Pelodiscus sinensis: one gene and its partners. The protein of the gene in region 2 purifies or fractionates together with the protein of the main gene of each other region. This does not show direct contact. Links are inferred from orthologs where the notes say so. Each region holds a gene or a part of one and is shown on either strand. Other genes may lie near its edges. The genes, in order: CTCF, PARP1, DNA repair protein XRCC1 and TCF7L2.

The links.
Region 1: the proteins of PARP1 (region 2) and CTCF purify together in Homo sapiens (affinity purification with mass spectrometry; 6 studies listed by BioGRID and IntAct, with this or other methods). This does not show direct contact. The link is inferred for Pelodiscus sinensis from reciprocal best matches to the Homo sapiens genes PARP1 and CTCF.
Region 3: the proteins of PARP1 (region 2) and DNA repair protein XRCC1 purify together in Homo sapiens (affinity purification with western blotting; 9 studies listed by BioGRID and IntAct, with this or other methods). This does not show direct contact. The link is inferred for Pelodiscus sinensis from reciprocal best matches to the Homo sapiens genes PARP1 and XRCC1.
Region 4: the proteins of PARP1 (region 2) and TCF7L2 purify together in Homo sapiens (affinity purification with mass spectrometry; 3 studies listed by BioGRID and IntAct, with this or other methods). This does not show direct contact. The link is inferred for Pelodiscus sinensis from reciprocal best matches to the Homo sapiens genes PARP1 and TCF7L2.

The regions. Positions count from the first base shown.
Region 1 is NC_134722.1:48,651,650-48,659,148, reverse strand, and holds the start of CTCF (transcriptional repressor CTCF), read right to left. Parts: upstream 3,016-7,499; 5' UTR 1,096-3,015; coding exon 1,090-1,095; intron 1-1,089.
Region 2 is NC_134713.1:157,460,439-157,467,984, forward strand, and holds the start of PARP1 (poly [ADP-ribose] polymerase 1), read right to left. Parts: upstream 3,007-7,546; 5' UTR 2,838-3,006; coding exon 2,718-2,837; intron 1-2,717. UniProt on the Homo sapiens protein: Poly-ADP-ribosyltransferase that mediates poly-ADP-ribosylation of proteins and plays a key role in DNA repair.
Region 3 is NC_134734.1:123,889-131,738, reverse strand, and holds the start of DNA repair protein XRCC1, read right to left. Parts: upstream 3,003-7,850; 5' UTR 2,894-3,002; coding exon 2,843-2,893; intron 2,677-2,842; coding exon 2,584-2,676; intron 2,000-2,583; coding exon 1,892-1,999; intron 1,064-1,891; coding exon 905-1,063; intron 63-904; coding exon 1-62. Other genes in the region: phospholipase A2 inhibitor and Ly6/PLAUR domain-containing protein-like, read left to right, coding at 6,190-6,238, 7,082-7,198, 7,552-7,704. UniProt on the Homo sapiens protein: Scaffold protein involved in DNA single-strand break repair by mediating the assembly of DNA break repair protein complexes. Negatively regulates ADP-ribosyltransferase activity of PARP1 during base-excision repair in order to prevent excessive PARP1 activity.
Region 4 is NC_134718.1:65,218,587-65,226,437, forward strand, and holds the start of TCF7L2 (transcription factor 7-like 2), read right to left. Parts: upstream 3,013-7,851; 5' UTR 2,401-3,012; coding exon 2,212-2,400; intron 1,953-2,211; coding exon 1,886-1,952; intron 1,679-1,885; coding exon 1,554-1,678; intron 1-1,553. Other genes in the region: VTI1A (vesicle transport through interaction with t-SNAREs homolog 1A), read right to left, coding at 7,652-7,690. UniProt on the Homo sapiens protein: Participates in the Wnt signaling pathway and modulates MYC expression by binding to its promoter in a sequence-specific manner. Acts as a repressor in the absence of CTNNB1, and as activator in its presence.

The DNA of each region.
Region 1 (7,499 bases), on a different chromosome or scaffold from region 2:
CCAGCCACGGGCAGGAGGCTGCTCCAGCCCCACAGGGAGGCCGCTGCAGGCAGGGGTTGGACTAGCTTTGGGGCTGAAGCAGCCTAAGTCCACAGGTAGGGGCTGCTCTGACAGCGGCACCAGAGCAGCTGCTGCCTGTGTCAGGGGGAGAGGAGGGGAGCAGGCAGCGGCTGCTCTGTCCAGGCTGGAGTAGCCCCTGCCTGCAGCAGGCAGGGGGAGGCGCTCCAGGCCAGCAGTGAGTGTGGAGACTGCTCCCTTTTAATTGGTTAACCAGTATGTTTAACAATGTGTTTAACTGGATAACCATTTAAACGAGATTTACATTCCTATTCTGATGCCCCCCAACATGCTATACAAATCCCACAGCCCACACCAACTGGTTTTCTGCAAATCCAGTAGATTACCATTGCGGGCTGGTGTCAAGGGGCAACAGACAATACAACTGCCTGGGGCTTCGTGCTACTGGGTGTCCAGCAAAGCGCAGGGCTGAGTGGTGGGACTTGCGCTTCTGCTTTCTGTCCTGGGCCTAAGCCAGTCTAATGCCAGCCCTACTCCCTATTTTGGTGAATACCTGAAACCAGCTTGTGATCCCCTAGGGGACCGGGGCCCCTGGCTGAGAATCATAATTAGCCCGGGGATTTGGGTAGGGACACAGAAGGATAAGCGATACTGACAGACATCACTCTAGTGAGAGGAGTGAATGGAGCAAGGCAGCATGATAAGGAAGACGGGATAAGGATCAAAAGAAGAAACCGAATAAGGGCCCTAGGATTATAGTTAAACTGTTTGTGCTCAGAAGTTGCAGTCACTCTAACGCATTGGGGTAGAACACGTTTGCACAAAGTCCTATAAATCTGTATGTCCACAAGCTCCAGTAATGTATCACTGCATCTGTCAGCGGAAGCCACTTTTCCATCTGTACTTACTAATCAAGAAGGAAACCAAGACGCATGTATTTCTTCAGCTCCTTTTTCTTTACTACAAACATCACAGGCAGTCACTTATCTACCACCTCTTTTCAGGAAAGCAGCGGCTGAGAAATTGACTAAGGCAAAGTGTACACTACAAAATTAAGTCAATTTAAATTACCTCCATGTACAGCTGCAGCAGTAATTACATCGTTCTGCACATCCACACTATGCTTCTTGTGTCGATGGTGCACAGTCTCACTAGTAGCACTGACAGAGCAGTGCACCATGGGTAGCTATCCCACTGAACTCATCACCATCTAGCGCAGGGTTTGCAGTGCCTCATGGGGGCAAACAAGTTGTGCAGCACGACTGGAAACATGGTTTCAACATCCCACGAGGCAGTATTCTTCATCCCATAATTTTATCTGCTTCCTGTAATGTTTTGAGCTTCTTTTCAAATGTGCTGTTAATCTGCACGTCTGCCAACTCTGTGAGAAGCATGGATACTCCATAGCTCTGTACTACTGGGCGGGCATTGTGAGCACGCTGAGCCTGATCTGCAGTATTTGGAAAGCCACCAGAGGAGCCGGGCAGAACAAGATGATTCCTTGGAGGCTGCCTTGCTGTGGGACACAGAAGGAAACAATTTTCGGCTGTTCGCTTTCATGGAGCAGCTGCAGACAGTGGAGCCCTAATTCTGGTCCTGGGAAACAAGCATTGACTGATGGGATTACACTGTTATGTGGGTATGGGACAACCAGCAGTGGCTGCAGAACTTTTGAATGTGCAAGGCTATATCCCTGGAAGTCTGTGCAGAGCTCGACCCAGAACTTTGGCACAGTGACACCAAAATGAGAGTGGCATGGACAGTGGAGAAGCAAGAGGCAATGGCTGTGTGGAAGCTTGCAATGCCAGGTTGCTATTAGTCAGGAACTGGATTTGGGAAATCCATGCTGGGAGTTGCTGTGATGCAAGTATGCAGGGCATTAATCACATCCTATTGTGAAGGACCATGATTCTGGGCAACGTGCAGGACGTAGTGGATGGCTTTGCAGCAACACAGTTCCCAAACTGCAGTGGGGCAATAGATGGCAAACATATTCCTATTTTGGTACCAGACAACCCTGCCACAGAGAACAGCAACAGAAAGGGACACTGCTCTATGTCACTGCAAGTGCTGGTGGATCACCAGGAAAGTTATGCCAACGCAAGTGGAAGAGAGTCATGGAAAATACATGTAATTAAGAACACAGGTCTGTTCTGAAAGCGCCACTCAGGGACTTCATTTACAGATGAGAGGATAACCATTGTAGATGTTGAAATGCCAGCAGTGACCCTGGGAGACCCAGCCTCTCTTACTCCTATGGCTGATGAAGCTGTATGCTGGTCACCTCCACAGCAGCAAGAACTTCATCTACTCCTCCTCACAAGATTAGATCTCAGTGAAAAAAATCCCAAAGATTAGAGATGCCTGCCGTGCGCTTCACAATAGTTGTGAAGAAAAGGGGGAAAGTATCTGCTGAGGTTGAAAGCAGAAGTGAAACAGTTATCTGTTGATTTTGAGCAGACAGATACCAGGGCTATAAGAGAAGCCCACAGAGCTATATAGCTCAGGGAGGCCTGAAAGGCTGTCTTAATATTGAGCCATAGTAATGTGTGTTGCAGTGTGCTCTGTCTGAGGTTTTTTCCAGGTTCATACTGGAGTGCAAAGAGTGCTGTCTGGGTAGTAATAGCACACTGGAAATGCGCCTATTGCGATTTTCTCTGAATGAGGTCAGACCCAGCCTGCCTGCGATGTGAACTAAGGAAGAGGAATAACAATGTTTCTTCAGCTGGATTTGCACTGAGCCCACAGACTCCTCTCCCCACAGACCCAGGCAATCCACCATCTCCTGGGCACTCTGGGCAGAAGCATGTATAGCATATGGAGCAGCTGGGCAGGCATCAGGTGATCTCTCCATGCTGAGCAAACAGGAAATGGAATTTCAAAAATTTCCAGGGCTTTAAAAGGGAAGGGCATATACCTGTGTACCTGATTGCTGGACAGCAGTGTAGTCATGATGGGAAACTATGGGACGCCTTCTTGAGGCCAGATGTCCCATAATGCCTATCCTGACCCTGCACCCAGGTACAAAGGCATCTGCCCCTTCCTCTTTAATGTCTGTGAATTTTTGAAATTCCACATCCTGTTTTCTCAGCTTGGAGAGCTTACAGCACATCTTTCCAGCTGGCCATGGCAGCTCCAGGAGCTCCAGGCAGCAAATACTCTCCCACGTGGAGCACGCCTCAGTTGTTGGGTCTGCTGGCATGTGCAGTCTCAGCTCCTTTCCAGCTGTAGAAACTTTGATACCTACAAGCAGATTTCTCGTGGTTTCTTGGATATGGGCTATGAACGGGATGCACATCAGTGCCGTGTGAAGATAAAGGAGGTGAGGCAAACATACCCGAAGGCAAGGGAAGCAAACCATTACTCTGGTGCTGTACTGGCGACCTGCTGCTTCTATGTGGATCTGGACACCATCTTTGGTGGAGACCCCACCTTCACTGCCAAGAGACCTGTGAATACTTTGGAGGCGGTGGAAAGTGGACTCAACCATGAGGACGAAGTTGTGAATAAGGAGATCAAGCTGGATTATGATCTGGAGCACGTCAGGGCTGTCGGGCAGCACGCTGGATCAGGATCTTTTTCTATTCTGGAGGGGTCTAGCTAGTCCCAGCCATCTGTCTATGGTGTGCACGATGCAGAAGAGAACCCTGGTAAAAGATATTTTTGAGTTGATGTTGCTTGGTTTTAAGAGAGGCAGAGCTGCCCTTTGCTCTGTATACTCCTGAAGTGGGTGACAGGATAGAAATGTACAAGGTTAGCTATGTTTGAGTGTGCTCCGTATTTCCTGTAGTACTAAGCAACGTGGTAGAACAATGCATTAATGCACATCATGATTTCATAGGACTCCTCCACAGAGATCTAAGAAGTTTTCCTGGGGGTACTCGCCAATCCTCTGCCACAGGTCCCTTGGCAGAGCACCTTTGTTCCTTCCCCTATCGTAGGGAGTTTTCCTGTACCAATCACTTGTGCGGGGTCTAAAGCAGCACACATACCAGCAGTATAAGGAGCAAGTTTGAGCCACACGTCCAGAAGATGCAATCTTGCTGATGCCTTAGGAGTGAGGTATCGGCTTCAATGACCACAGATTGGCTGTAGAATTTACAATATTGTCCCTGATCACTTGCAGTAATCCCCTTAAGCCATCTACCCATGCAGAGAGTGGAGAGAGACACTGAAGGAGAATTTTAAAACAGAAAGGCAGAACTGAAAGAAGAGTGAGGAATGCATTGTAAAGGGCCAGAAGTGGATGAACCAAGTGATGGAGGAACAAGCAGAGATGCTGAAGTCCCTAATCATGCACCAGGCAGAACACATACAGAACTGACATTCATGTCCCCCTCAAACTGCTCTCACATTCCTCGCAACTTCCTGACTTGTCTCTGTATGCTGTTTACTCCACCATTCGGACAGTTTCCAAATGACAGCTGAACTTACCCAAAGTTATGAGACCCTCTACTACCCTGCGCTCTAATCTCCCTTTCCACCAACCCTTCAGTGTGCTTTAATTGGGTATTTAATAAAATCAAACTCTTTGAAACACAAGCCAGCTTTGTCTCTTACATGGGATGCTCGCTGCTAGTAGTAATACAGTGGCAGTTTGATCACTTACTGACTACAAATCCTGATCAGAATCATTACTACTTTCATGAAAGGTGGCAATTTAACAAAGCATGGCAGAGTGCTGTATGGAAAAACACATTAGTTGTGCTCATTGTCAAAATACTGCCTTAAGGCCCCTCTCAGATTGGAATTCCTCCCTCTTAGAACAGCCCTGGTATCTGGCTGCTCAAATTCAGCAGCCAAGATAAGCTCGCTTTAAGCGGTGTAACTGTACAACACCTACCAAGGGCCACGCAGCCAGACTCTCAGGGCTGCAATGGGGAGAGACCCCCTTTCCCTAGCACCAGCCCAGGAGCTGCTGTGGGGAGACAGAGCTGGGGTGAGTCCTTTCTCCCTGCTGCAGCCCTGGGACAACCTGCACACCAAACGGCTCATCTCTTGCTCCAGCCCAGAGCTCTCACTCCCCGCTGGAGCCCTCACCCCACACATACCCCTATAACCCAACCTTCTGCCTCAGCCTCCCCTGCCCCCATCCTTCAAACCCCAGTCCCATCCCCACCACGTGAATTTTGTTATATGCACCAATGTGGAGGCGATACATCTGTGACGTACACTCTGGTTTTGTATTCACTGTTCGATTTATTATGATGCGATTCCTACTGTCCTAGACTGCTCTGTAGTGAGTGCGTCTGTGTGTGGACACCACACCTGCACGGAACGGGATGGGATCTTTGGGTGAGAACTCTTGAGAGAAGGCACGGAAGGAATGGCCCAGGACAGCCTGGCACCTGACCCTAGAAGGAAGATGCAACCAGTGATAGTCAGATAATATCTGGGGTCCTGGAAGCAGGACAAAGGAGGAGGCGGAGCTACCTGGAGGGCTGGGGTCAGTTGATGGGTGCAAGAGTTAGTTTTTCAGCTGGCTCAGGGAGAAGAGAGCCTAGCTGGCTTGGGGGGCTGGGCAGGGGCCCAGAGGGCTCTAGACCCCTCATCCACAAGATGGATTATACTGATTGCTCCCGGTTCCTGTAACAAGTCTGTGCTACGCTGTGTCCCCATCAACGAATACACCTTCCGTTCTATTTGCTGTCCGAGACTCACATATGACTGCAGATGGGGGTGCAGGGCCTGATGACTCCCCCACACTATGTGACAGCATCTATCGCACATCACCTCCATACTGGTGCACATATAATTAACTCTGCACACGCATGGGAAAAATTAGAGGGAACACTGCCTTTGTGCCCCCTCGAGAAATGTTTTACTTTTAGTCTCAAATATGATGAAGCTCACAGCAGACTGCTATGACCAGTGTTCCCTCTAAACTGCAGGGCAGCACAGCTTCACAAGTGATTAATCAGTTCTGCCCAGTCAGTCAGCTCCATGCACGGAGCCCTGAGACTGACAGGATGGAGCTCATTAATCACCTGTGAAGTTGCTGCTGCCCAGATTAGTGGGAACACTGGCTATGACCCCAGGAAGATTTTCCTCATTTAGGTCTAACCTGCCACAAACGCAGCGCCAGCATGGTTTTACTCCACCAAAGGCACATGATTATTCTGCACGTGCTCTACCTACTGTGGATGCATCTCTTCCTGCTGTCCAGGTTTCCTGTGAAAGATTTCACAAGTCCTGGGAATGGGATACCCTGCATCTGAGTGACTAGGGGCATTTCAACATCTAGGTCGGGAAAAAAGTCCCTGCTTGGAGTTTTCAGTTGAGGCCACTGTTCCTGAAGACGTGTGCACCATCCAGCAATGACGTCAGTGAAACACCCATAGTTATCCACAAGTGCCTGCAATAGCAGAGAAATACTCCTTTCTACGGAGGTACTTCATCATAAGATTGTCTGGGGCCAAAATTGGAATACACATGCCATCTATTGCCCCGCTGCAGCTAAGGAATCCCATTACCACAAAGCCATCCAATATTTCATGCACACTGCCAGGAGTCACAGTCTTTGTAGCAGGATGTGATTAATGGCCCTGCACTTGTGTTACTACTGCTCAACGGTTGACTTTACAACTCCAATCTGATATGTAACCAACAAGCAGCATCTGGATTTGGAGCTCCAGTGATCATCATGTGCTTCTCCAAGAGGGAAGCTCTCATTTTGATGTTCTTGTGCCCCAGTGCTGCGGTGAGCTCAATGCATACTTGCTTGAAGATTGACTTTTTCCATCTGAAAGTTCTGCAGCCACTGCTTGTCATCCCAAGGCTGCATGAGGCAATTCCACCATTCTCTGCTTGCATACTGAATCCAAAAGCAACAGTCCATGCTGTGCAGCTGCTCCATGAATACCAAAAGTCACCTGGAGTTATTTCTTTCCATGGCACATAAGAGCAGACATACTGGGTCAGACCAAAGGTCCATCTAGCCCAATATCCAGTCTTCTGACAGTGGCCAATGCTAGGTGCCCCCAGAGGGATTGGACAGAACAGGGAATCATCAAGTGAACCCTCTCCTGTCACCCATTCCCAAATTCTGACAAACAGAGGCTAGGGATACCATTCCTACCCATCCTGGCTAATAGCCATCGATGGACCTATCCTCCATCCTCCTGTGGCAGACCACAGATCCAGTAATTGTGATGTCCACTCTGAGATGGGGTGCTCACAATATACTACATGAGCATCTATGATATAATCATAACATTGAGCACAACAGAAAACAGTGAGAGATCCATACTTTCAGAGAGAGACTGGAAGGGACCTCAAAGTCATCGAGTCCAGTCCCCTGCCCCCATGGCAGGACCCAGTACTGTCTAGACTATCCCTGATAGACATTTATCTAATCTACTCTTAAGTATCTCCAGATGGAGATTCTACAACCTCCCTAGGCAATTTATTCCAGTGCCTAACCACCCTGACAGGAACTTTTTCCTAATGTCCAACCTAAACCTCCCCTGCTGCAGTTTAAC
Region 2 (7,546 bases):
CAAGCCATAGAAGGAGCTGGTGGCTGCCCTACTCCCATGGCTGGCCTGCCTCTTCCCCCATGGTGGGGGGAGATCAACCCCAGTCTTCCCCCAGCTGGCTAGATGCCACCCCAGCCTTGGCAGGGGGAGGTGTAGTCGCACGCTCTGCACCCCCTCTGTGTACGGGTCTGATTGGGAAGCAGAGAATAAGGTAGAAAGGAATGGCAAGAGTAAAGTGAATAAAGTGAGGGCAAGAGAGGAAACAGAGCAGACACCAAAACAGATGGAGGAAAAGATACCTAGCTATATTGTGGTAGAAAGAAAAGAAGTGAAGAGAAAAGGAAGGAAGAAAAATATAAAGGCAGTTTAATAAATTGAGGTTTTGTGTTTTACAGAGCTAAATACCTACGTTACAACAAACAGCTCTATTTTGGGAGGGGAAAAAAAGGCATGCAGGAAACCTTTGCCATTCATGGGGGAACCTCCTATATTTAATGGAAACAACTAGAAGAGTATCAGTGCCTCTTGGGAAGCAGAAGGCTGCAAGCCAGTGGTGAATAAACTCAGTGGGAGTTGGACAGATTTTTCAAGCCCTACCCTAACGAGAAGAGATCTCCCTCCTGTGCTACTTTCACTCATAGGCAGAGCTAGACAAATAATGCAATCTACTCGCCAACCCAGAAGAGCTGGGTTCGGGCAATCTGCGCATGTGCAGATAGCCGGACAGCGCGGCTGGCAAGCAGGGCTCGCCGCAGTTCGGCGAGCCCTGCTCATAGAGATGTAGGGATCAGAACACAACCACACTAGGAATAGTTGGCACTTGGACATTATCTGAAAAGTCCCCTATTGAGGAATTTGTGAAGTGCTCAAGACTCTGGAATGTTATCTTATTTGGCTGAAGCAAAGGCAACAGCAACAGAAATTAGACCTCTCTCCATAAAGGGTCTGTGGTAGATGTTAAATTTCAATAGCTAATCGAGTAGTCGATGGAATTTCGACTACTTGATTAGTCGATAAGGGGGGCCGCCTGCGACTTGTGCATTTCAAAGGCAGAGGCACAGCTGGGAACCCTCGCGAGCATGGACTGTTTCGATCCCCACTTGCACCATTTCCCCACTGCGCATGGTGGGGGAGGGAGGGAGAGGGGAGAAGTGACTAGACATGTAGTGACTCTTCCCCATTAGGGATGTAAGTGATCACTACCGCAGGCAAGCCTAGGGTTATGTAAAATCCTGTTTAATCAATTAACTGATATGTCGTTTAAGAAGGTATTAATTCCAAGGACAGAAGAATGCCTCTGCACCAGGTTTAATCATGGATGTGGCCAAACTATAATTATGACACACGTGTTCCTGTGTGGACTGAAAAAAAAAGAAAAGAAAAAGAGTAATCATAACCACGTTTTAACCTTGGTAAATTCCTAGGTTTGTGTACACTAGCCTTCTGTGCAGCTTTGCTGTCTTGTCAGACCTGGCAACAAATGCATCTAACCAGAGGGAAAAATAGAGCAAGGTGTGAGAATTCACTGATAAGGTGGTAAAGCAGATTTCTTTACAAATGCAAAGATCAAAAAAGGGGAGAGAGGGAATGCTACTTGCCACTAAAAATAGGTTAAACTCATCTACAGACAGGAAGGAAGATTTGTGTATCAAACACAAATAGCATTGTCCAAAACACATCTTAAACTGCCCAGGAAAATGCCTTCAAAGTTCCTCAGCAATAATGGAAATTGAGTTCACACTTCAACTAAATGCCTCATTTTGACCTCCAGCCCTCCCCCATCTGCAATTATTTGTCTCCACATACAGGTCTCAAAGCTGCAGACTGAGGTAAACAGTTTTTTTTAAATTGTATCCTTGGGTATATATGGTCGAGACTATTTTCTTCCACTATTTGATCTGAGGAAGTGGGTCTGGCCCACAAAAGCTCATCGTCTAATAAACCATCTTGTTAGTCTTTAAAGTGCTACATAGTCCTGTATTTTGTTTGAGGTAAACAGAGCATTCCAATGTACTTTACAAATGATAAGCAATTCACAAAAAATATACTGAGGAGTAAATGGCCAATATTCCCCAGTGAGGAAGTGAATGTAGTTAGAGTCCAGTATCACATGGACTGAGATTCTATCAGGGATAGAATTTATACTGCTTTTCGTCAACTCTAAATAAATCATGCCTTCCTGTGAAAATCAGCTAAAAATTACACAACTAATTACTGTCAACCAAATAGAGAGAAATTAAAATGGAAGCCATCTAGCACATAACTTAAGGTTTTCTTTGCTTTCTGCCATCATCTAACCACAGCATCAAGCAAGCTGAGACAACGCAATGACTTGGGAATGATGACTCTGCCTTCTGCCTTTCATCTCGCATTCTCGCTCATTTCAAGGTATGGACTTCGAATGCCCCCTAGTCAGGGCAGCCGGAGATCACGTCACTGCTTCTGACTGATGTGCACCGATCACACCATCTTCTGCGGAAACAGCGATCCCCTCCAGCTTGCAAGAGCAGCCCCCCGCTCGCGACTCGGAACCCCGCTCAAGTCCGGCTGACCCCAGCCCGCCGCGCCGCGCGAGCCCCAGAGGCTGCAGCCGCGGAGCGCGAGCCGCGCTGCAAACCGAGAGGGATGAATGGGGCGGACGCTCGGCCCGGGGCGCCGAGGGGAAGGCGGCACGTGGCCGCTGCCGGCCTAGCCGCAGGGAGCTTGGGGGCGGTGCCGGCTCCCGGCCCACGCGGTACCTGCACCATGATGGCCAGGCGCAGCGAGTCCTTGGCGATGCTCTCCCCGCATTTCTTGCACGAGGCGCGGCCGCTCTTGGCGTACTCGGCCCGGTACAGCTTGTCCGCCGGCTCCGCCATGGCGAGCGCGGGCAGGGGACGCGCGGGAGCCGGCGGCAGCGAGCGCAGGCACCCGCCGCGCTAGCCGAGCGCCACGCAATCCACCCGGGCTCAGCCCCGCCGCTCGAGCCGCTGTGCAGCGCTCGACTGAGCCCCCTGGCCGGGCTCGGCGCGTGTCCCGGCTCGCTGCGCTGGAGCGATGGGAAGAAGGACGCAGCTTGGGGCGCGCGGGAAGGTGTCACATGGCAGCGCCTGCTCGGGCGCGCAGTGTAGGGGGCGGGGGCAGAGCGGAGCCCCGCCCCTTGGCCGCGTTGCTGCTGCAGCTGCCAGTCCCAGCCAGCGGGGCTGCTTAGAGTGGCTGCAGGCCGGGGCTGTGTGGTCTGCTGGCCTCTAGCCGCACAGCGCTCCCCTCCCCCCCCCCGTTCCTTGGCCGCCTGCTCGCTTCAAGGCGCTAGAACGTGTCCCTTGAAGTTAGAGCTGGGTGAGGCTGTTTGTACCCTCAGATCTAGCCCCTGCTTACAGCTGGGCTGATATAACCGGGCCAGAGATAAAACTCTCTGGCTCCAGGGGGTAAAACTCACAGGTGGAGGAAAATTCCACTGTTTTCCACAGAGCTCCTCCCACACCTTACCAGTCCCCCTCTGTCCAGGATCCACTTCATGGCTCTGTGCCTACATGAGTTGCTTTAGGGCAGGGGTCTCCAACCTTTTTAAGCAGAAAAATCATTTGAATTTAAGTGCAATCCAAGATTTACCTCAAATATAATTACTCTTGCCCCAACTTTCTCCCCCTTTATTTACGCACACCCAATCCGTGGCCCCACAAAGTCGCGAGACCTCCTCGTCAACCTCCTCCTGGCCTTAGCGAAAGCTGCCATTTATAATAGCAGGAGGAGGAAGTTAGACAAGGGGGTTCTCTGCAACTGTGGGGCCTATTTCTGCTCCTCCCTCGTGTCATGAATCCGGGCAGAGTTCCTCTGGGCGGCGTCCACTGGCTCCATCGACAGCTTTGAGGAGCAGTGGGCGCTGTCCGGGGTTCTCTGCTCGGTGTCCCCATCCGGCTCCCTTATTTTGAACCTCTAGCCCGCACTTCTTGATCCTTTAGTCATTATTTGTCCCAAGCAATCAGTTGGACATGGGTCCAGTGTCCCTCCCATAAGGTTGGGGAGGGGCTTTTAGAGCCACCATCCCATGATTTCAAATAGGCCCCCTCCATTCTCTGAGGCCCCACCCCTGCTCCATCCTCCCTCTCTTGCCCATCCTCACTCACTTTCATCAGGCTGGGGCAGAGAGTTGGGGTGCAGGTTCTGGTCTTGGATTAAGGGATCTGGAGCCACTCTTGGAGCAGGCAGCTGGGATGTAGGAGGGGTTCTAAGTGCAGGCTCTGAGGGGTGCTTGGGGTGCAGGGGAAGGTTCATGACCAATGTAGGAGTTCAGGATGTGGGCTCCACCTGGGCTTTGCATACCTAGGTGGCTCCTGATTGGTGATGTAGTGACCTACTCCTTAAAATAGCCAGCAAATTCCATCCCAAGTCTTGTTGTGCCCACTCTTTGCTTTGTGGAGAAAGGATACAGAGTGAGAGGGGACACCCTGATATCATCACTCCTCATCTTCCTCCCCTGCCCTGCCCAGAAAGTAGGTGGCTCCCCAGTGGGAGAGGCAGGAGATGAGCAGCAGTGTGAGGAGGGGCAGCTGAAGTGCTGGCACTTGATAGCCTCTTGGCCAAACCAGGCAGGATCACCTGTCAGAGGCTCCAAGAGCTAAGATTTACTGGTTGGTGACCACTGCTTTAGGGAATCAACACCCCTTTCCCAGCATGGGCCCAATGGCAACTAGCTAGTTCCTGATTCCTCTGAAAGGGGAAATTCTTCACTGTTGAGGGAACCGCAAAAACAGTTAATTCAGTCTCTGTGAAACTCATCACCACCAGACAGCAAGCTGGATGGACTGCGAGGCTACATCTACATTGCACAGTTATTTCAGAATAAGCTGTTCTGGAATAGTTATTCCAAAATAGCTTATTTCAAAATAGCATGTCTATACCGCAGGGAAGCCTAAAAATTAGTCCAAGGCAGGCTTCCCTAATGTAGACGTGCTATCTCAATTTAGAGCTCCAGAAGGAATAACTTAGAATGGCCCTGATAAGGGCCTATTTCATAATTGCAGCATTGGAGCATTTACACACACATTATTGCAATATAGCTATTTCAGAATAGGCGTTATTCTTCGTAGAATGAGTTTTACAGAAGTCAGAATATTTCAAAATAATTTTGAAATAGAATTGCTGTGTAGACACTCACATAGTTATTCCGAAATAACTTTGCTGTGTAGATACACACAAAGCAGCTGCTTTTGCGGAAAAACTTGCCAGTTGTCTATACTGGCTGCTTGAATGTCTGCAAGAACACTGACTTGCTACTGTATGAAATCAGTGTTTCTTGCAGAAATACTATGCTGCGCCCATTCGGGCAAAAGTCCTTTTGCGCAAAGTTTTTGACGAAAGGGCCAGTGTAGACAGCTCAGATTTGTTTTGCGCAAAAAAGCCCCGATCACGAAAAAGCGCGTCTAGATTGGCATGGAAGCTTTTCCACAAAAAGTGCTTTTGCGGAAAAGCGTCCGTGCCAATCTAGATGCTCTTTTCCTCAAATGCTTTTAACGGAAAACTTTTCTGTTAAAAGCATTTGCGGAAAATCATGCCAGTCTAGACACAGCCTGAGTGTTTCCAGGGATCAGGTGTGACCCATGCATTTACACATTCTCAGCTTCCTTTCCCTGATATGGGCCCTGAACCTGCAGAGAGTCCCCAGTGGTGGAGTATTGATGTTAATCTCCATAGAGTTCAGGGGAGATCTGCAGGTAATGAACCACTTCTGTCCTTTTATGTCAAGAGCATAATCTGACGCTGGGGGGGGGGGGGGGGGAATATGATTGTAAGGTTGAGGAAATTAGGTGGTGTACCACAATCCTTCCTTTCGTGCCTGCATTTTCTTACAGGCCTGGATGCTTTAGGCAGCCATTTATGCTTTTTGCTTCTTATTATTCTTTTGTTATTCTCAAAGGCTATGTCTACACTGGCAGGTTTTTGCACAAGAACAGTTGTTCTTGTGCAAGAAGCCGCAGAGCATCCACACTGCCCACCCTCTCTTGCGGAAGAAGATTTACAGTACAGCGTGGTAAGAGAGGCCTTCTTGTGCAAGAACTACGCTCTTTTTTAACAGGTATAAGCCCTCTTGCGCAGGGGCTCTTGTGCAAGAGGGCAGTGTGGACACTCGACAGCGGTTTCTTGCGCAAGAAAGCTCTATGGCTAAAATGGCCATCGGAGCTTTCTTGCTCAAGAGAGTGTCCACACTGCCATGGGCGCTCTTGTGCAAAAGCATAGCTCGCACATGGCAGTGTGGACGTTTTCTTGCGCAAGACTTCTTGCATAAGAACCCTTGCCTAAGATGTTACTACGCAAAAAGCCGCCAGTGTAGACATAGCCAAAGAGTTATCTGTTTGCTCAAGATGGTACAGTGTAGGAATGCACTGTTGACTTTCAACAAGTTTTGGGACAGCTCCCAAGGCCATGCACCTGGTATGGGAGTGCAGGAGGGCTTGGGAAGGTCACATAGATATCTGTGCTGAATGTTTCCAACCTGATAATGCTACTTACTTGGCCTAGGAAAATATACAAAGTATCAAAAAGCTAATTATTGGATGTGGGGAAAATATGCAATGTATCAACGATCTTGTTAGGTTCTCAAAACAACAGGGGTAATTCCTGTAGATCCAACAGTATATAAGTACCAGGGATATTCCTAACATTAGAACCTCGGCGTAGACCAAAGCCACAGAAGGTGCTATGTACTGGCCACTGGGGTCTGTCTGCTGTCCTTCTTCAGGGGGTTCCCGGCACATAGGCATTGCATTTTATTCTGAGGTTTGCTTAGGCTTAATGAGGATTGTATTTTCTTAATAAGTATTGTACTTTATTCTAAATTTGCTTCATTGTACTTTACTCTAATATTAAGCATTGTATTTTACCCTAATATTTGCTTGGTAAAATCTTTAAGCCTTCACCCAATTTGTGTGCTTATTGCCTGTTTGTGTGTGTGTGTGCGCGCATGTGCCAGGCAAAAATCACAGAAAAATCACTTGTGTTTAGATGTGAATGCACAAAAATGTCACAAAAAAGTCCTATACTCTGTGCATTATTGGGAAGCTGACTTGTGTGTGTAGATCGGGCAAGTATTAGTGTCCATTTACAATTCTGTGGTTCTGTAATGAATCCATAATCTTCCTTAGTTCTGGGCATAGGTTAGAATCTTAGAATTCTCCCTAATTAGCAAGGTTGCTGAAGCTCCCAGGTTTGATCCCAGTTGACAGCTATCTGTACAATGTGGAACTATGGTTAACTAGGTCAGTATATAACTTATGTAACTTGTAAATACCACTCTGATTAAGATCATTGCAAAAGAACCCTACTGACATGAACTTACTGGGGATTGTGGTATTCAAAAAAATAAAATAAAATTGAATATTTCAGAATTACAATAGGTACAGTGTATAATTTTATGTACATAATGAATGGTAACATCTTACAGTTTTATAGGAGCATAGTGTACCTGTAGTCACTGGTGAAATAATACAGCTATATTCTGAGTGTATATACCTTCTGTTCACTGCCAAAACCATATGTGTAGCTTGTTGATTAAGGGATACAGTTTTCCCTCCACCAGGAAAAATGATTC
Region 3 (7,850 bases), on a different chromosome or scaffold from region 2:
GGGGTTTCATTGTTTTCGGGCGGCGAGTGGAACTTCACGAAGGACAGCCCATAAGCCAAGGTCTACAGGAGATCAGCCAGAAAGAAAGTGACTCACTGGCAGAGCTGGAGAGAGAATCCAGAAGTCCTGGCTCACAGCCCCTGTCCCCGGTCTAACCACTAGACCTCATCCTTCCTCCACTTACCCACTGTGTCCACTTTCACACTGTTATCATACATTTGGTACAAAGTCTGCCTCGGGAAGTATCATGTGAAAACTCATAATCTGCAGAACATCATTGTCCTGTTAAAATGTGGAACAACTCTGTGTATAAAGCTATAACCTTCTACTCTGAAGTTACTGTGGGGAATACCCCCAGACTACCTCCTGGGTAGACAGAGACCAGCTCAATACCCCACCAGGCATTACGTGCTCTGGCAGCCAGTCTCCAACAGGGGAAATGCGTGAATAAGAAATGTTCATTGTATACAAGAGAGAGTTCAAGCCGCATGTACATAAGATGAGAGGCAATGGGGGAGAAGGATACCAGGGGCTTCTACCTCACCTCTCCCATTTCATGTTATCAGTGAACGCTGGATGGATTGAACCAAAGGGGAGAGTCCCAGCTTGAAAGGAAATTCAGCCTGCGAAAGAGAAAAGCCCTCCTTGCTCTCCAGTCACTGAGCATGGTAAAGGAAGGTCTGGCTTGTGTCTTTCTCTCTGATAATTTTTCTTTGGACCCAGAGGCAGTCGGGTTCGAGTGTCCCAGCGACACAGCTACTCCCCAGTCCGGACTGTCCCTGGAGCACGTCACCCCTGCCCCACCTCAGCAGGGTGTAGTGAAAATGGCCACTGATCCGCACTGCCCCTTTGGCTCACCCCCGCGGAATCCCTTCCACCCTGGCCAGCGTGCGAGGGGCCCCACCTTGGTGTAGGGCTGAGTGCAGACAATTTTCACTCGGTCCCATTTCTTCTCAGCCGCGGCCTTCACCAGCTTGTCTGGGCCAAACATCCGGACCCGGTTGAGGTTGGTGCCGGCCTTGCTCTCCGAGGGCGACATGAAGGACGAGGTGACCAGCAGCACCTGGGGAGGAGGGACCCTGGTGTAGAGAAGGCTCCCTAACCCTCCGGTGTCCCCCGCCCCAAATCCCGTCACCACCCCAGTCCAAAGGGACCAAGACCTCTGGGAACATTCCCGCACACTCTCTGGCACGGGGACAGGGCACACTCATCCCTACACACTCTCCTTCACGGAGACAGGAGACACACACGTTCCTGCACATTGTCTCGCACGGGGACAGGGGACACACATTCCTGCACATTGTCTCGCACGGGGACAGGGGACACACATTCCTGCACATTGTCTCGCACGGGGACAGGGGACACACACATTCCTGCACATTGTCTCGCACGGGGACAGGGGACACACATTCCTGCACATTGTCTCGCACGGGGACAGGAGACACACACATTCCTGCACATTGTCTCGCACGGGGACAGGAGACACACACATTCCTGCACATTGTCTCGCACGGGGACAGGAGACACACACATTCCTGCACATTGTCTCGCACGGGGACAGGAGACACACACATTCCTGCACATTGTCTCGCACGGGGACAGGAGACACACACATTCCTGCACATTGTCTCGCACGGGGACAGGAGACACACACATTCCTGCACATTGTCTCGCACGGGGACAGGAGACACACACATTCCTGCACATTGTCTCGCACGGGGACAGGGGACACACACACTTTCCCGCATTCTTTCACAGACGGATGAGAGTGGCCGATGGACCTGACCCAACCCCCCAGGGGTCGCTGAACCCGATCCACCCTCGGCCCTCCCGCCCCCCACCCAGGCCTGGGGGCGCCCGGAGCCCAGCACGGGCGGCTCCCTCCTCTCACCTCGTAGTCCTGCTCGCTGGGCGAGGCGGAGCTGCCGGCCAGCACCTCCACGAAGGCCGAGCCCTCGTTGCCCACGTCGATGCTGTGGATCCGCTCCTCCTTCTCGAACTGCCGCCGGGGAGGGGACAGTCACGGCCGGGGACGAGCCCCCCCCAGAGCCCAGGGGTCCGGGCTCCCCGCCCCTCCCCCCCCCAGAGCCCAGGGGTCCGGGCTCCCCGCTCCTCCCCCCCCCCAGAGCCCAAGGGGTCCGGGCTCCCCGCCCCTCCCCCCCCCAGAGCCCAGGGGTCCGGGCTCCCCGCCCCTCCCCCCCCCAGAGCCCAGGGGTCCGGGCTCCCCCCCCCCACCCCCCCCCCAGAGCCCAGGGGTCCGGGCTCCCCCCCCCACCCCCCTCCAGAGCCCAGGGGTCCGGGCTCCCCCCCCCAGAGCCCAGGGGTCCGGGCTCCCCGCCCCTCCCCCCCCCAGAGCCCAGGGGTCCGGGCTCCCCGCCCCTCCCCCCCCCCAGAGCCCAGGGGTCCGGGCTCCCCGCCCCTCCCCCCCCCAGAGCCCAGGGGTCCGGGCTCCCCGCCCCTCCCCCCCCCCAGAGCCCAGGGGTCCGGGCTCCCCGCCCCTCCCCCCCCCCCAGAGCCCAGGGGTCCGGGCTCCCCGCCCCTCCCCCCCCCCAGAGCCCAGGGGTCCGGGCGCCCCGCCCCCACCTGCAGGATGACTGACAGCTGCTTCTCGCCGGGCTGCGCCGCCCGCCACTTGCGGTAGGTGTCGCCCTTGAGCAGGTTCTCGGCGCAGTGAGTCTGGGGGGGGGGGAGACTGTCAGGGGGCCGCGCACCCCCGCGCGGAATGGACTCTCCCGCCCTGCTCCCCCGCGCTCCACGGGGAATGCCCCTCCCGCCTCCCCGGGACCCCCCCACTCCCTAATGGTCTCTCCCAGCCCCCCCCCCGGAATGGTCTGCCCCGCACCGGGTCGGCGCTGCTCGCGGACACCACATGACGGATCCCGATCTCCGGCATCGCCGCGCTCCGCGCCGCCCCGACCCGGGAGCAAAACTCCGCCGCCCGCCGGAAGCAGAACCGCTCTGCGCCTCCGGCTCTGTGTGCGCCCGGTCCTCCGAGCGCTCTGCGCAGGCGCCGCTGCGCAGCGAGAGGCTATGCGCATGCGCAGCGCCCGGCGTCGCCTGAAGCGGCGCGCGCCGGTGGCCCCTTCGCGCCTCTTTCCCGCGTTCCCCGCTCGATCGCGGCGCATGCGCCTTGCCACCGGTGCTGCCCCCCCTGGCGGCACAGAAGGAAAGTCGCCTCTAAGGCCGTCATGACGTCATGGAGCACGTGCCCCCTTCCTCTCTGCCGGGGCTCGGGGCGATCGCTGGTGCCGCGCTTCGTGCGCACGCGAGCTCACCAACAGCTCACCACAACCGTGCACACGTGCAAATCACAGCTCGGTCACCGAGCCCCTGCTCACCAGAACCCTACCAGCTGGGGCCTGTAGTCACCCTCTTGGCTGCCAGGTTTGCACAAGGACAGGGGACACGCTCACACCTGTGCACACTCGCACGGGGACAGGGCGCACACATTCCTGCACACTCTCCTGCACGGGGACACACTCACACCTGTGCACACTCTCGCACGGGGACAGGGCGCACACATTCCTGCACACTCTCCTGCACGGGGACACACTCACACCTGTGCACACTCTCGCACGGGGACAGGGCGCACACATTCCTGCACACTCTCCTGCACGGGGACACGCTCACACCTGTGCACACTCTCGCACGGGGACAGGGCGCACACATTCCTGCACACTCTCCTGCACAGGGAAAGGGCACACACATTCCTATACACTCTCTCACATAGGGACAGGGGACACACTCATTCCTATACACTCTCTTGCAAGGGGACAGGGCACACCCACACTTTCCCACATTCTCTCGCACAGGGGTGAGTGTGGCCAATCAGCCTGACCCAACCCACCCTGCCCAGTGTTCTGCACCCCCCATGCCTGGCTGGGATGCCAGGATGGACCCGCCTCTCCTGGTACCAAGTGCTGCGCCTTCTTGAGGCAGCGGGTGGGGGGCAGGCAGGGGCAGGGTCATACCAGGAGGCCAGCAGGAGCCCTTTCGGCACCATGCAGGAGGGACGGGAGCTGCATCCATTTTTAAGAAAAAATTGGGACTCCCCTGGGAGGGCTTAAATATGGCGCTGTCCCTTTAAAAAGGGTCACCCTAATTAGCACCCAGGCCTGCCCCTCCAGCCAGGCATCAGAGCCCGGGAGAGCCCGCGAGGGGGGCCCGGGGCTGTCACTCCAGCTTCAGCCTTTGCTGCCGTTCTGCCTGCCTGTCCCGGGCCTCTCTGGGGCCTGGGCCAGAAACTCTCTGTGCTGCACAGGCCGGCCCCCAGCCAGCCCAGCCAGGCCTCCCTCAGCACCCTGGGCCCCGGGCCTCCGCCAGGGATCAGAGCTGGGAGAGAACCCAGGAGTCCTGGCTCCCGGGTCCCCTCTAACCATTAGCCCCCACTCCCCACAGATCCAACCCTGGAGTCCCAGCCCCCGCGGGGCGTGGGACAGGGTTCCCGGCCCTGGGCTGAGCCCACCATAGTCTGTAACAATCCCTGCCCCACACTCGGTTCCTAGGGCCTCCAGCAGATGCCCCCCATGCTGAACTGCCCCCCCCCCCGTGCTGAAATGCCAGCCAGGGGGGCCCTGGCTTGAGCTGCCCCAGGGCCGAGACCCACCGGGCCTGGGAGAAGATGTCGTGCCGAGCTGGGGCATTCGCTGCACTTGGGCAGGGCGGGAGGCTGGCGGGGGGGGTTCTCCAGCCCCCGCCGCTGTCCCCAGCCCGGCCAGCTCCCCGTGTCACCTAGAGCCGCCTGCGGCAGCTACCACTTACCATCTGCCCCCCTGCCCTGGGGGCAGGGATCAGCCACAGCGCAGACGCGGGGGCCAGAGAGGTTTGGCTGATCCCCTCCGGGCCCAGGGCCAGACCCCCAAGAGGCTGCTCTCCGTCCCACCAGACAGCTGGCCGGGCCCCCTCACACTCACATGAGGCCACCTGCCCCCCACCCTGACACCAGCATCACCCGGGAGTGGGGTGGTCCCAAGGTGCCCATTGCTCCAGACCCCCCCTTTGGTCCCCAACACTGCGCCCTCCTTGCGGCTGGGTCTGTGCTCCAGCCCCCCAGGAGGTTCCCCCATGTGGGGCCGTGAACCCCCCTCCTGCCACTCCTGGGTGGGGGCAATTCTGGTTCCTTCCCTGCAGCCAGTCCCCAATAAATCAGTGCGGGAAACAAAAGGCCATTGTTTGACAGCTGGCCAGCCTGTTCCAACCACTGACCCCTGCTGGCCTCCCAGGGCTGGGACAGAAACCTGGGCGCCCCGCCAGCCCCTCTAACCACTAGACCCCACTGCTTTCCCAGATGTGGGGTAAGAACCCAGGAGTCCTGGTTCCCTGCCTGCCCCCTCTCACCGCTCAACACCACTGCTCTCCAGGATCTGGGGCTAGAACGCAGGAGTCCTGGCCCCCACCGCCTCTCGCTCTAACCACTAGGCCCCAGTCCCCACCCAGAGTGGACCCCTCCTTTGGGCAGTGATACAAGCAGCATCGTGTGGCCTCTCAGGGCTCCTTACTGCCCTGGGACCGCGCCATTCTGGGCCCAGCCTGGGGTGGGGGTAGGTGCCCCAGAGCCTCTTCGGAGGGAGTTTCCCCCTAACCCGGCTCCGGGGGCTCTGGCCCGGCCTGCAGGAGCCTGTCTGTGCCCGTGGCAGCGCCTCGCACGCCCGGGGTTTGCGGACCAGCCGGCCGGCAGCCCGTGCTCCAGCGTGGGAATCTTGCTGGTGGCTGTTGAGCGTGTGGGGTGCTCGGAGCCCGTCTCCCTGGCATTGGGGCTGTGTCCCCCCTAGAGCTCAGACCCTGCCCACATTGGGCACCGGCCGGCCGTGTCCCTGCTGGGCTCCCCCCTCCGGGAACCCTGCGCTAGGGGCAGAAGGCCCGTGGGGGGGGTCTGGGCTGGGGCAACGGGGGATGAGGATGCTCTCAGGCGCCCCATGTCCCAGCCCCGGCCTCTCCCCGCCCCAGATCCCCCCGGCCTGGCAGGGGCGGCCCTGGGCTGTGGTGCCACGTCCCCAGGCGGGTCCGGCTGGCAGGAAAGGCAGACGTGGCCACCTGTGAGAGGGCCAGGCCAGGTAATTGATGGCCCCGCAGCCGGATCCCTCCAGGAACTGGCTGTTCCCAGGCCCCGCAGCTATAAATCCCCACGGATGCAGGGCTGGCTGCATCCAACGGTCAGCTGCCCTCCTGCCCGGCGCTCGGCTCGGCACCATGGCCGCCCGCCTCGCCCTCTGCCTGCTCGCGGCGCTGCTGGCCACCGGTGAGTGGGAGTCTGGCGCCAACCACCGCCCCCACCCTTGGGGCTGCCCTCCCTCTAACCACTGCCCCCCGCTGCCCCAGGGGCTGCCCCCACGCTCACCACTGCCCCCCGCTGCCCCAGCTCTAACCACTACCCCTCACTGCCCTCGGCACTGCCCCCGCTGCCCTCGGCACTGCCCCCGCTGCCCTTGGCACTGCCCCTGCTCTAACCACTGCCCCCGCTGCCCTCGGCACTGCCCCTGCTCTAACCACTGCCCCTCACTGCCCTCAGCACTGCCCCTGCTCTAACCACTGCCCCCGCTGCCCTCGGCACTGCCCCTGCTCTAACCACTGCCCCTGCTGCCCTCGGCACTGCCCCTGCTCTAACCACTGCCCCCGCTGCCCTCGGCACTGCCCCTGCTCTAACCACTGCCCCCGCTGCCCTCGGCACTGCCCCTGCTCTAACCACTGCCCCCCGCTGACTCCCCAGAGCTCCCTCTCTAACCACTACCCCCCGCTGCCCTCGGCACTGGCCCTGCTCTAACCACTGCCCCCCGCTGACTCCCCAGAGCTCCCTCTCTAACCACTACCCCCCCCATTGCCCCCATAGAGCCAGGGAGAGAACCCAGGCCTTCTGGCAGCTCCATTTCACTCACCCTCCTGCTCTAACCATTAGACTCCACTCCCTAACCAAGGAACCCAGGAGTCCTGGCTCCCAGAACAGCTGCTGCAAGCCAGGCTCTGCTAGTGCCTGGAAGGAGCGCTGCGGGAGACCAGGCCAGGCTGCCGCACTGGAATGATCTGGGGGGGGGGGGGAGAAGTTGGCGACCCTACAGGTTACCCCCCCAACCCCCTCCCTCCCCAGGATGCTGCCTTCAGTGCGAACGCTGCACCAGCGCTGACAAGGCGTGCTCCGGAGAGCCGCAGGACTGCGAGCCCTCCCACACCTCCTGCCTCATCCTGACCTCCGAGACCACAGTCGGTGAGTGGCTGCGTGTCCGCCAGCCTGGTGGGGAGGGGCTGGGCACAGCTGCTAGCCAGCCAGCGGGGTCCCCAGCACGCCGGGCGCTGCCCAGACCCCGGCTGAGATCGGGGCCCTGTCGTGCGAGGTGCTCTGGCATCAACCTGTGGAACTCCTCGCCAGGGGATGTTGTGACGGCCAGGACTTTAACAGAGTTCCAAAGAGAGCGAGATAAATTCATGGAGGTTGGGTCCATCCATGGCTATTAGCCTGGGCTGGTATCCCCCTGGGGCCCCCGGGCAGCCTTCGCGGGGGGCTGGGTCCCGGCTCTGCCCGTCCAGCCCCAGGGATTCTTCTTCCCGTCTCGCCCGCAGGCAAGGAGCGGAAAATCGGCACGTACAAGGGCTGCACGGAGGCCAAGTTCTGCCCCCCGCGCTCCTCCAGCCTCAGCTCCGCCTTCGGCCTGCGCGTGCGGAGCGCCGCCAAGTGCTGCCAGCGCGACCTGTGCAACAAGGGGGCCTTGAAGTGTACGAACCAGCCCCCTGGCCGGCCCTGCGCTAACCACTGCACCCCGCTGCCCTCCTGGGACCAGGCCCAGAGCCCAGGCATCCTGGCGCCCAGCCCCTACGCTAACCACTGCACCCCGCTGCCCTCCTGGGACCGGGCCCAGAGC
Region 4 (7,851 bases), on a different chromosome or scaffold from region 2:
CTGATGTTTAATATTTTAATGCTTTGAAACACTTGTAGATCTGATAAACTGGGATCGTCCAAGACTTAAGCCATTACCACAGATTCAACATCTACTGAACAGTAGATCTATTATTTCAAATTGCTCTCTCAGGTTACAAAAAAACGTGTAAATAGATACATGGTAATGGCGGGGGACCCTTCAGATTTAAAAGCACCTAAAGAATGCTAACAGACAACTGCTGGGCAAGTGTAAACAAACACTTCTTAACATTCTGTATTCCCCATGGGTTTACCATTCATAATTTTTAAAAAAACCCTCCTTTTAAAAAAATTAGTCTTGATATGTGCTACATCGGGGCATATAGCAGTTAGTGATAGATACTCCAAGACATCAAAGGAGAAACAGCAGCCAAGCCTACCCCATCACAGCCCAAAGTTTAATAGAACTCCACTATCTGAACTACAATTACTAACCCTCCCTCCTCCACCAGACACACACACACACACACACACACACACACACACACACTTACTCTTTTCCCAAGAAAATCCAACCCTTCACACTGACACACACATACATATTTGCAGCAAGATTATTATTAAGATTATTATTTGCAGCAAGACTACACTTCTATGTGCGAAGGTGTTTAATGTATTCATTTTTAAAGACAGTTTCTGTTTATTGTATCACTGTTAGTCTGTGATCTGCTCTAAGCCCTTCCAGGACTTATTTTAGCAAGACACACAAATAAAGAACTCCTTTCAGGTCTTTCTCCCCTTGCAAAATAAGAGCAACGTGTTTAGGTCGGGGTAAGGAAGGGCTTTTCCTTGTCACCGCTAAAGAGATGGATGCATCTCCCTGATCAAGGTCTGTGCATGTGTAAAATAATCAAGGATGTTAGTGTGTAGTTCAGTGTCAACCGCCACCACCTCAAAACGTGTAAAAACTTAAACCACACTTGCCATAGACAGAGAGTGAAACTGCTGAACTCAAGTGAAAAGGCCAGAAAACTTGCAATGGACTTTACAAAAAAGTTTCTAGTCTTTACAAAACAGGGTAAGAGAGAAACTATAGAACTTGGTGACTTGCCAATACAGCACACTGGTATCCCAGACAGCTTATGCAGCAAGGAAGGGGTTAAGGGGGAGGTTAAAAAAGGGAGGGGAAGAGATCAAGACGCCACTGAAGAGGGCAGAAGAAAACAGCTCATTCACCAGGGAAAATAAATAGTTTTGTGGAAATCAGATTTGCGATCTAGCTGATGAGAAAAGAAACCAAAACACAGCCCGGGGTTTTTAGATTGTGGGATTTTTTTTAAGAATCGAAATCCACGGGGTGAAAAGACCTAGTCGCAAAACTGAAAGTAAAAAAGGGGAAAAATATGGCGAAGTGTAAACAAATCCCATTCTGCAAAAGCCATAAAAGTTTGGAAAGTTTCTAACGATGGGGGAGGGGGGCATGCAGGAGGCATCGGGGGACTCAGAGCTGGGGGGGGGGGGAAGAGGAAGGAAATGTACAATCAGAGCAGCAAACGTTTAAAAAACACACATCGGTGGATATGCGCCACTTACTGTTCGTGCTGTCGGCGAGAGCGATCCATTGGGGAGGTACGGGCTGGTCAGGTCGGGGATCATTATAAAAGGATAACCAGGGTATGGTGGGCCCTTAAACAACCCTCCATCTTGCCTTTTCGCAGCTAACATGGCGGGGCAGAAAGAGAGAGAAAGGGGGTGAAAAGGGGGGCAAACAAAAGAGGACACATAAAAAAAAAAACTTTGTTTGGAAAGTGCCCCCCCCCCTGCCCGCCTACCCCTCCTGCATTGAAAAGTTACGCGGCGGGCGCAGCTGGGTTTCGGCAGGTCGCCCCGCAGAGCTGGGAGGTTTTTTTGGGGGGGGTACTCACCTTCTTCTAAACTTTCTCTCGATTTATCTCGGAAAGTTTCGGACCTAGGCGGAGGCCGCCTCTCCGCCTGGCAGCACCGGGGAGAGGGGGGTACAAGAAAGGTGGAGGGGGGGGGGAGAGAAAAGAGAGAGAAACATAGTTACAAGTTGGTGCCATGGAGGAAACTTAACAAACATTCTCGCAACATTGCAACACACCACGCTTCCCCCCACACGCGCGCCCTACTTGCTACATCCAGTGGCAAAGCAAACCCCTTCTGCCCCCCACCTGTGTGTGCCCCCAAACCCACGGAAGGGAGGGGGCATTTGGGGGCTTTCCCTCCTTACCTCCGAGTCTGAGGAGCTGTTTTGATTCGTTTCTGATTCATTGACCAGGGAGGACTTGACATCAGCTAAATCCCGCTCGGCCGAGGAGTGGTCGGAGATCTTCTCCTCTTGCTCCCCTTCGTCTTTAAAAGAGATCAGTTCGTCGTTCGCCCCCAAATCGTCCCCTCCACCGCCGTTCAGCTGTGGCATTTTCCTCCCGGCTCACCCCACCAGCAGCAATTTTGCAAAGAGGGAAAGGGGAGAGAGGGGGAAAAAGGGGGGGGGGGAAAGAAAGGAAAAAGTTTGCAAAAAAAAAAAAAGTCCAAGGTGAATGGGTTTTTTTCCTTCTCTTCTTCTCTCTTTCCGCCTGGGGAGGGGAAAAAAAGCAGGAGGAGGAGGGGAGAAAAATGTCTTTCCTTTGCTCTTTGCACCAGTGACTTTGGGTTTCTTCTTCTTCTTCTGGATTTTTTTCCCCCTCTCTCTCTCTCTCTCTTTCTTTCTTCCAGGGAGCGGATCAGCGTGCGCACGGACGCACAGCAAATGGGGGAATAATAATAATTACAAAAAAAAAACAGACGGGGGGGAGGGGAATTTAAAAAAAAATACAAACAACCCCAACAAGAAGTCAGCTGGCTGGGGGGGCAGCGGCTGCCGATCTAGGGAGCCCGTGCCGCTCGGGTTTGAGTGAGTTGAAGTTAGACTGAGAGCTTTTCAGTTCAAAGGCGGCGCTGATTGACAGATAGAAAAAGGGGAATCGAAATCCGGAGGAACGGAGAAGTCTGGGATTCGGGATTATTGACAGGGAGAGAGAAGCACACTAGGCACTTAATGAGATGCAGGAGGGGGCGGGGGCTCCCCGGGTGACGTGTGCATAAATAAACAGGTTTGGGGAATGAGCGAGGGGAGAAAGAGAAGGAAGGGGGGTGGGGGAGTGGAGAAACTAACAATGATCCTTTTTGGCAAGAGCCAGAGAGAGAGAGAGAGAGAGAGTGTTAGGGTGGGGGAAAAGGGAAAGGATTTAAGGGAGACAATGGAGGGGGAGGAGGGAATCCATCAGTTGTAAGGGAATGACCCAAAGGAAAACAAAACACATGCAGGAGGGGGAGAGAAGGCAAAAAATTGCACTGTACTTCAGAAGTCAATTTGCACAAGAAGGAAAAAATATATATACAGGAGTTAGGAAAAGAGGGAAAGATGCCTGCCCCTCTGCCTGCTGTTTGCAAAGCACTAACTTTTGCAGAGCAGAGACGATTAAATAGATAGATTTGTATGCATAAGGAAAGTGCAATTTCTCAAACCTCCCCTGTTTCAGTATTTTTATTATGTGTGGTTAGGTTTTGGGGTTGCTTTGTTAAACCGTTAAGATTTTTTTATGGCCAATGGTTGTAGGTAAGAAACTAAAATAATAATGTCATAAAAGCTCTTTTCTTACCTAGCGTTTTCTTTTTACATTTATTGTTGTTATTATAGTTCTGTTGGATTAAAATAGGCAAGATAACTCTTTAGTGTTCAGATTTCTCAAAAAAAAAAAACTTTTTGTCAGACATATTATTTTTACCGTAATGGGGGGAAATGGGACGAAAGGGAATGTGATTGATGCATTAATTAGTAAGAGAGGGGGGAGATCAAGAACTATGTGACTTTAGAGGTGAAAAGTTTTGGTGCTGATGTTGGAAGCATCACAACAGGAAAATTAAAATGAAAGTGGCCAGATGCACTGGAATAAATAGGACCACATGAATGGTCCCACAGCCGGCTAGCAAATGAGTTACCAAATGTAGATAATTGAAGGGGGGATTTTGACCACCAAGACACAAGGAAAGGGTATTCAGTTCAAGGATTTGAGGCAGCAGTTTAAAAAAAAAAGTCACTACCCAAACAGCAGACTTTGCACAGCAACAAAATGGGGAGCAGAATAATGCAGATGCAAGAAATGACATCTGGTACCTGAATATAATGTGTTGAAGAGAAGAGGAAAACAAATTGATCTGCTAGTAGTGACAAATTTTAACAATGGTCTAGTCAATGGGAAACTTTAACATGGGCAAGGAACAAAGGAGGGAGGGGGGCACAGAGACAGTAAATTCAATGGGAATTAGTAAATTGCCTAATGGAAAATGGTGTTAGAAAGCAAGGAGACGGGCTGTACTAAATAATCCAAACATTCCCCAAGAAATCTAACCTGCTGCTCCTACTAAGGGCCATTCAGCACGTAGGATTTTCAAAACAAAGTCAATTTGTCATGCAATATTTAGAGAGTTTGGGGATTTCAGCTAAACTGTCTTCTCTGAAAAGAATAATAAAAATAATAATACAGAGATCGACAAGGCTAACAAATTCTCAGGCATTAAAAAGTTCACATAGAAATTTGCATACTAAAGGGAAAGATGCAGACAAAATAGAAATAAAAAAATCACTGCAACTTACAACTTTAATATTAATCAGTAAAGCAGAAATAGAGTGAAAGGAAGCATGAAAAGAAGTAAAACAAATGTGTACATTTAATCAGACAGGATTGCATAGGACACAAAGAACAGGGCTAATTAGTCTCAGCAGGTAGGGACTAACCTTCAGACTTCATAAATAAATAAGTCTGTGAACAATGTCTAAATGGGAGTATGGAGACAGAAAAGGGATTATTTCAAGACACCAAGTAAAAACATGAAGAATGAAATACTTCACTGTTAAATCAATGTACAAATGGATTTAACAGTTTCTTTTTCTTCTGGTCTTTTGACTAACTTGTTTTTACTTTTAGACATTTTCAAAATAGCTATGGTTGGTCACACACTTCTCAATTATCCCTGGCTATGTAATGGCTACATTCTGCAAGTTGTTTACTTGCAAAAAACCACAGTAACAAATATACTCAATTTTGTTTGCCTTTTGATTTTTTAAAATCTTTTTAACTCTGGTGTGAGGTGAGATTAGAAACACCACGCAACCTGAACTTCTGCTTACTTTATAGGACCAAGCATTAGAAGATGATCCAATTTAACAAAAAAACTCTTTTGTTTTAAAGGGATTTTTATGATCTGGTCTGGATTTTTGGCAAACGTTCTTCCCTAACAATTTTGCACTGTAATTAGTGCCATTGCTTGTTTAACATCTAGAGTGTGGTTGGTTTCCTACTAGATACAGGACAATCCCCGCCTCAGGGAGCTAACAAATAAAGGACCTGATTCTGTAAACAGTTATGCATATGCATAAGCTTATTTATGGATTCCTCATGTAAGTAATACTGCTGATGTTCCTAAACGGTTGTAAGATCAGGCGCTAAAGTTTTCGGCCCTGATCCTGCACTGGGAATCCAGGTGCACAGGTTGTCCCTAGCAAATCCTGAGACAAGTGTTAGGTCCCAATCCTGGAACATATTCTTCGCTGCACCTGCATGGCTGGATCTTTGCACCTGCACAGAATCCCCATGTGGTCAAAGGGACCTCATACAACGTTCATCACAGGATCAGGGCTTTAGTTATCTTAACCCTATGCATTTTCCTATGACACATGTTTATCCTTTCAAATGTCAATATTTAAAAAAAAAAACAATGGCAAGTCACCGTGCTGTCATTTATTAGAATGCCATTATTTAATTAAGGAATCAGAGTTACTCCTAGTAGCATACACATCAGATCTTATTTATTTCCTGGTTTCCAATTTTAAGAGTTCCAAATATACAAATGCCTTTGGGGAAATGAAATCCCAAAGGGTCAAGAGCACCTGTTAGCTGGAGGGTACCCAAGATAAAAAATGTGTAACTTGCAACAGCCAGAGTAATATAATATTCAGAGGGAAAAAAGTCAAGCTAATCCACTGTGTGAAACATGTGATTGATTGTTTTGATACCCAATTTGAAGCAACAGGTGGTGTGTCAAAGGCAGGTGCTGAGAGTTTGGCCTTCCATAGACATCAGTTATCCTGGCAGAGTTGTCCTGTGCCTGGCAAAGTTGTCTAGATCATCACAGCTCTCAGCCTTGGCACAGTACTCCCTACATTGGGCTTGCTTTGGTAAACAATGGGGAGAAGGTCAAATTAGGGAATTTGTATTGTTTATAGTGAGTATTTTATATTCATGGAATGCCTTTCAACCCAAAAGATTCCGCAGCAGGAACCAACAGTACTAGTCCATGAAAAGCAGAGGGAGGGGGATACACAATCCACAACAGAGAGGAAAGGGAACATTTTGGTCCAGGCTAGTAGGGTAAACACCTTCTTACATGAAAAATTATTTTGAATAATTCGTGTCCCCTCAGCAGCCATGTCTTTAATAGAGAAATATGGTTTACTAATTACCATTTGGACTGAGTAGAACACTGCTTTACATGTGGGACAGGACCTTTGCCTCTAAGGTCTTCTCCAAATGCCCCTCTACTGTAGACTTGCAAGCACAGAACAGAACTCTACCCATCTATATCGGAAGCACAGAATGGCTTGAGTTGACCATGCTAGGATTTTAATCTATTGTTTGAGGGACTTTGAGTGTTTCAAAGGTGACCACGTGGAGCTCTGTCTGTGCTGGCATCCTCAACGTTACTGCCATGTATGCAGCTCCACCAACCTTAGCAAGGGTGGGAAATGTTTCTAGGATAGACAAGGCTACAGAGCCAAAAGATAGAAGTCTGGCTTTTCTAGATAATTAGAGAACTGGCCCAAAAATATGTGGAAGTATAAATAATCTACAAAATAGGGGAATGTCTAAAACACAAAGTTATAGTTCCACTGTGAGATTTTATGTTTGCTTTATCTTTTGTGAGGGCTAACCTGATGGTGGTTTGGTCCTTCGATATTTCCTTTACTTTGCAGCTTGTCAGAGGGAACCTGAGAAATCAGACACCCAGAGACCTTTTACTTACAACTATGAGATCTAACTCCTTTAAATCCATATTCTGTTTCACAAGTCATGTCTATGAAGCAGTAGGAATATTCTGGTTTTTGGCCTAAAGTATTGCTATGCATCTTGATTTGGACAGAGATAATTTTACCAAACTGGTTAAGTGTATGCATGCAGAATGTCATCACATGTTATCAGGAGGTGATATAAAAAATTATAGGTAGGGTGTGTGGGGGGGTGATATCAAGAATTAGAGTGTGTGTGTGTGTGTGAGAGAGAGAGAGAGGTTCCTGAAACACAGAATCTTCCATAACTATACCATTTTTATTGACAGCATGTCTTTTAACCCTAATAGTAATGGAAGAATCCCAATAAATGAAACATTTACTGAATAACTTGCCTTATTTTCGGGTGGTGTCAGATTTCTTTCTAGCTGTCTCTAGAAGATGTTTTTAGCCTAATTTGCTCCCTGGAAATTTCACTCACCAGAGTTATACATCTATGACGTTTTATTGCCTGAAGCCAAGTCTGAATAAGAACTTTCTTAAGGTATACTTACCCTAATGCCAGTCTACAAGAATTGGGCTGCTTTAGTTTGATTTATTTGTGCAACGCTGATAGATGGAGTGCTTATAGGCTTTCGGCCATCATTGTAGAATTGGCCTGTTTCTAAATATTAAAGGAAAAAGAAATAAAATTCAAGAAAACCAGTAACATCCATATTCAATTACTGTAAAGGTGCTTAGTTAAATTAATTGTCCTGTATACTTATTTATCTATATTTTCCAAACAAATTAACACAAATAGAAATTTCATGTGTTTATTTTTGC